Saccharomyces cerevisiae S288C: one gene and its partner. The main gene of each other region encodes a partner of the protein of the gene in region 2 in a complex. Each region holds a gene or a part of one and is shown on either strand. Other genes may lie near its edges.

Region 1 (2,485 bases), on a different chromosome or scaffold from region 2:
GATGCAATGTGTGAGTATTTGACCAATCATGTTAATTATCTGGAGAGCACACACAAAGAAGCTATGGGGGAGAAAAACTAATGAAGTGATTAACTATAATAATTTAATAATAACTCGCCATCCGACCTTGTATAATATAATGTAGCATATATGTGCACGGATATATATACATCTTAGAAAAAAATGAAAAAATGAAACCAAGAAAAAACTAACTGATGGTGTTCGGACAACGTTTTAGAATGAGGGTATCTAACTTTCTTCTACCATTCTCTGTCCAAAAACCTAGAAAGTAAAGTCCAGCCAAACCAAGATGTGTTTTCCAACGACGAAGACGCTGCGCTTGGTGAACGGTTTAATGTTTCTCCAGTGCTCTCATCTGTAAATCGTGACCGCGATGACGAATCTATATCTACGTCTGACAACCTGTCGAATTCAAGAGGCATCGAGTAGTAATTGAAAATAAAGTCACGCTGGGGGAAAAAAGATGGTATATCGTCAAATATTCTTTCATGATGGTATGTCAATAATTGCCGGCGAGTTTTCTCGCGGTAGCATGTTCTTAGAATTGGATACAAGTCTCTTGATAGTTTCTGCACAGCAATTCTTTGGGCATTTGTAAGTTTCTTTAATTTCGCAGAGGTATAAAGTTCTCTTTCCTTAAAGGAATAAACGGGAAATCCATGATTGACACCGTCGCTTGATTGAGGGACATTTTGATGCAGCTCATTAAATAAATGGCTGCCCAAACACCACTCATCGATCCGGTCAGAGTTACTAGACGATCGAATGTTACGAAGAGCGGGCGCCGGCTGCTCTGAGGGCGGAGAATTTTTATTGCTGTCACTGGATATCGACAGTATAGCAATTTCGTCAGAAGGAACTTCGAAGGCACTACTTGCAGATTCCAGTGTCTCATCGCGACTAATGGCAGTATTTGTACATTCTGGAGATAAATCTGGGTTATTGATAACCCTTACATCATTGAATGACTTTAATCTATGGAAGTCTAGCTCAAATTCCTCTTCTGAGAGTTCCAGGACTTCAAATAGCGATTCTTCATCGTGAATGCCGTTATTAATTCTGGGTTGAATGCGAGCAGACCTTGACCCGCAATCAACCTGGTAATTGTTCACAGATGCCATTAATGAGCTGTACTGACCACCAAATTTTAGTATTTTAAGCCCTGAATACAACCTTTGCTCCTTGTCGACATTCGTAAGTATATAGAAATCTATCCCTTCAAAAGATTTGTATTATTCGGGATTACGCTACAGCCGCACGTAGATCGTACGTGTATAACGATGTTTATCTTGGTGAAAGTATCTTAACGCGAATGCTCTAGTGATGGCACAATAGAATAGTGTCTTAGCACCACAGAGCGTGATTTTTTAAAGCTCTATATTAGCAACTACGATAGGTGTTTATTTAGTTTCTTTGTTGATCTTCCTGTTTCCAGTGTTACGGCCTTGTCAGGTCAAAAATTTTACCCGGATCTCTAGTAATGAGTAACTTAAGAATATCCCATCTGATTATTGGTAGTTTTACTGAACCAAGTTAGAGCTAAATAAATATATACAGCCGATAGTGCACTGGAACCTTATCCTAATATCTCAATGAAACTACCGGTAGCACAGTACAGTGCACCAGATGGTGTGGAAAAAAGTTTTGCACCAATACGCGATGACCCTCGATACATGACCACAGAGGGAAGGACAACTGGGCCCAGTGACCATGTGCTAAACGCTGGCCAAATCGATAGAGACAAACCTTCAGAACCGGAACGCACGAAAGATGGCTCACAACTGACATACTTAGGCCAGCTGCGCACGCAGCTGACGGGGCTACAGGACGATATTAACGAGTTTTTGACAGGAAGAATGGAATTGGCAAAAAATAAGAAGAAAGCCGGCGCAGACGAGAAGCGGATCCAGGAAGAGATTAACCAGCTATTAGATGGTGGTGACGGTGACGAAGATGCTGTTTAGGCAACGATATGTAGCGCTAGAGAGTGTATATACAAACAGAAAAGAGTCTAATGATAAATGACAAATATTTCGTTACAAGTGATAATTGTTGAACTAGGAAGAGTTGATATAAAAAAATAATAAACACACGATGGGATACAGTTAAGAAGGATTGATCGACTCCTAAATGATGCGAAGAAAGCCAATTTTCAACTTGGAATCATCCTGCCGGTTTGTTGTTGGTGTTAGCTGTGTTAGGACTCGTTAAAATGGCAATCAAACCAAGAACGAAGGGCAAAACGTACTCCTCAAGATCGGTGGGTTCGCAGTGGTTCAACAGGCTTGGTTTCAAGCAGAACAAGTACGGAACTTGTAAATTTTTGTCGATAATAACGGCCTTTGTTTTTATCCTCTATTTCTTCTCCAATCGCTTCTATCCAATTTCTCGTTCCGCCGGTGCATCATATTCTCCATCCCATGGGCTGTATATTAACGAAATTCCTGCCTCCAGCCGGTTGATT
Region 2 (3,386 bases):
CTTATTCCTATTACCTGTACTATTTGTATTCAAATGTCGCGTCTTTGAATCAATGGAGGGCTAAGAGAGGGTTTAACACTTTGGTTTTGAGACCACATTGTGGTGAAGCCGGTGACCCCGAGCATCTCGTTTCAGCATATCTATTGGCACATGGTATATCACATGGTATTTTATTGAGGAAAGTTCCATTTGTTCAATACTTATACTATTTAGATCAGGTTGGTATCGCAATGTCACCCCTTTCTAATAACGCATTATTTTTGACCTATGATAAAAACCCATTTCCGAGATACTTTAAAAGAGGTTTGAATGTCTCACTATCCACAGATGATCCTTTACAATTCTCATATACCAGAGAACCATTAATCGAAGAATACTCAGTTGCAGCACAAATTTATAAATTGTCTAATGTAGATATGTGTGAATTGGCAAGAAATTCCGTGTTGCAAAGTGGGTGGGAAGCACAAATCAAAAAACATTGGATAGGGAAAGATTTTGACAAGAGTGGTGTTGAAGGTAACGATGTGGTTAGAACAAATGTTCCTGATATTAGAATTAACTACAGATACGATACATTATCAACTGAACTGGAATTAGTTAATCATTTTGCCAATTTCAAGAGAACCATTGAAGAAAAGTGATGGTTATACGCGCACATGTATATAAGGAGAACTTTTGGCAGTTCGATACACTGACTTCACGGAGAACAAATAATACTAATCTGAAAAATAATCAAAGAATTTTTTTTATAATTTTATCGTTAGATATCTCTTATCTACACACCCCTCAATTGAATAGCGTCTACCAAAGCTCTTGAGAGACCATTTACGTCTTGGGGCTTGAAATCATCACTTAATTTATAGATCTAATAGGTAAAAACAAAATAAAAGGAAAACAAAGGTGAAGTTAGTACAATGTGTTTCTGGTGAGGCTGTTGAAGTTTTTACCTCGAATTTATTATTAAAACATACTTTTCTTATGAGCGCTTCGTCATAAAATCTCGATAAATTGTCATCATTAAACTCGATCTCTTGTCCTTTTACTATAGAAGTCATAATCGTCCTCAATTGCTCTTTGTCTACATCGTCAGTATTAGTATGGAACTTAAGGCATATTAACTGTGACGAATCGTCTTTGATTCCGAATTTGAGGAAAGCATCACTAATATTGGAAGTGGGTGAAAGACATAGTACGCACTCGGAATTCAAATTTCTTGTTCTCATCTTGTTATATTTCACTTCTATTAAGGTCTTGTAAATTGCAGAATACATCTGCTCCCCCGAACAGACTAACCGGGGGTCAATAAAGGCAAAGGATGTCGACAATTCACTCATTTTAGAGCGTATTTCTTTAGCATTTTTAACCTGTTCAAACAATGCTAGTGAAACCTTGATATCAGGAAATTGCGGTATGATGGATACTACCATGATGATTGTATAATGGGCAGCGACGACGTATATTTGGTTATATCGACAAATTTGTTGACCGATAAAAGATTGTTGATGTATATTTTGGTTTGCAATTGAAATTTTCGCGCAAAAGATTAAACATGAAATATTGAAATCAATGGTATTAATGATCAACGAATATTACAGATCATCAATTAAAGAAACAAGCATTGTCAGAATCTAAGCTGGTTATTTTTTGGGAAGGACAAATTATGGACGAAAACAAAATAATCGACCAGTTGTTCAGTAAGGAATACACACCGCAAGATGACTCCGAGCAAGCCAAAAATGGAGATGTGTCGTTATATGGGTTATTAGATGAAGTAGCGAACGGTAGGCGGTTGATGAACTGTTTGTTTCATTCACCTATGCAAATGGGGAATAAATTGAGTACCGACAAACTTGATGGGAAATGTCGGCAAATACAAAGAGATTGGATTGATGAGGAAAAAACCATAACTATGAATTCTGGCGCTTTACAGCTGGATGGGCCAGTTCTATTTTCCTGGAGTCATAATGTAGCACCTACTTCTCATCAAGAAACTATAAATACAACCTTCAAGCAGGGCTCTCCGAGCAGAGGAAGCAACAAGCCCAAAATTACTACTACCAGTCAGTTATTTGATAGAGCTTCTGCTGAGATTGATAAGTGTATAAAGCCCAATAGCAAAAGTTGGATGGTGGAAGAAAGATTTGAGAGAAATGAGGCACATACAGCTGATGGCAAGAAACCTTCTACGTGGGCTAATTCCGATTTCAAAGTGGACCCGCTACAGAAATTCGTTGTTAAGGAATTGCCCAAAGAAAAGAAGAAATCAGACGGTGATAAGACAAAGAAAAATAAGTCGAAAAGGAAGAGTTTTTTTGGATTTTGGGGCCATTCTGGTTCTAAATCAGGTTCAAAAAAGAAATCCGAAAAGCCTATAGAGGCCAAAAATGAAATTCAGGATGAGGTAAGCCAAAAATCTGGCCTATCACCTGACGATGATACAACTTTCAGTGATAAAAATACCATCCAATCAAAGCAAGAGAGTATGAGTGATCAACAAGCTGAACCCAAAGTACACGAGCCCGCAGTTACTAACACTGGATGCAGTGAACATGATGATGGTGATGGATTTGAACAGGTACCTGCACAATCTAGTTATCATCCATCCAGCGAGCCCAGCATTGCCAGCACTCCTTCATTAACTCTAGATTCATTCATCCCATTACAACCAAAGAAGAAAATATAATAGATGCTTGTAGGCTTCAACATCTATTAGAGTCATCGGCGACGAGACGCCAAAAAATAAAGCGCAAAATAATCACACCCATTTTTTTTGTCGAGAATGAGAAGGAGATGGCTTAGAACTGGAAATATAAGGGATAGTGGCATCACGAGAAGCTGTTGTTCTGTTTTTTTAAAGTGTCAATTGGCCTGATTATACTCATAACTGCATTTTCATCACTTCCACGATCACTTGAAGTTGTTACAGCGAGTGTTTATACCTTCAATTCTCGTGTCACATTTTGCTATGAATAGGACTGTCTTTTTGGCATTTGTATTTGGATGGTATTTCTGTTCAATAGCTCTCTCCATATACAATAGATGGATGTTCGATCCGAAGGACGGATTGGGTATTGGGTATCCCGTGTTGGTGACAACATTCCATCAGGCTACTTTATGGTTACTATCCGGCATATACATTAAGCTCAGGCATAAGCCAGTGAAAAACGTTTTAAGAAAGAATAATGGTTTTAACTGGAGTTTTTTTCTAAAATTTTTACTCCCTACGGCAGTCGCTTCTGCAGGTGATATCGGGCTCAGTAACGTTTCCTTCCAGTATGTTCCCTTGACAATTTATACAATTATCAAATCTTCGAGCATAGCTTTTGTCCTTTTATTCGGCTGTATCTTCAAGCTAGAAAAGTTTCATTGGAAGTTGGCACTTTCAG

What was found. The genes of interacting proteins can lie anywhere in the genome.
Region 1: CGI121 (region 2) and GON7 share a complex: the UniProt entries of both Saccharomyces cerevisiae proteins name them as parts of the EKC/KEOPS complex.

Annotation. Positions count from the first base shown.
Region 1 is NC_001142.9:81,835-84,319, forward strand, and holds GON7 (chromatin DNA-binding EKC/KEOPS complex subunit GON7), read left to right. Parts: upstream 1-1,613; coding exon 1,614-1,985; downstream 1,986-2,485. Other genes in the region: alpha-1,2-mannosyltransferase MNN5, read left to right, coding at 1-81; ATG36 (Atg36p), read right to left, coding at 261-1,142; MNN11 (alpha-1,6-mannosyltransferase), read left to right, coding at 2,234-2,485. UniProt on the Saccharomyces cerevisiae protein: Component of the EKC/KEOPS complex that is required for the formation of a threonylcarbamoyl group on adenosine at position 37 (t(6)A37) in tRNAs that read codons beginning with adenine.
Region 2 is NC_001145.3:203,683-207,068, reverse strand, and holds CGI121 (Cgi121p), read right to left. Parts: upstream 1,428-3,386; coding exon 972-1,427; intron 866-971; coding exon 776-865; downstream 1-775. Other genes in the region: AMD1 (AMP deaminase), read left to right, coding at 1-641; LFT1 (Lft1p), read left to right, coding at 1,661-2,683; YMD8 (Ymd8p), read left to right, coding at 2,966-3,386. UniProt on the Saccharomyces cerevisiae protein: Component of the EKC/KEOPS complex that is required for the formation of a threonylcarbamoyl group on adenosine at position 37 (t(6)A37) in tRNAs that read codons beginning with adenine.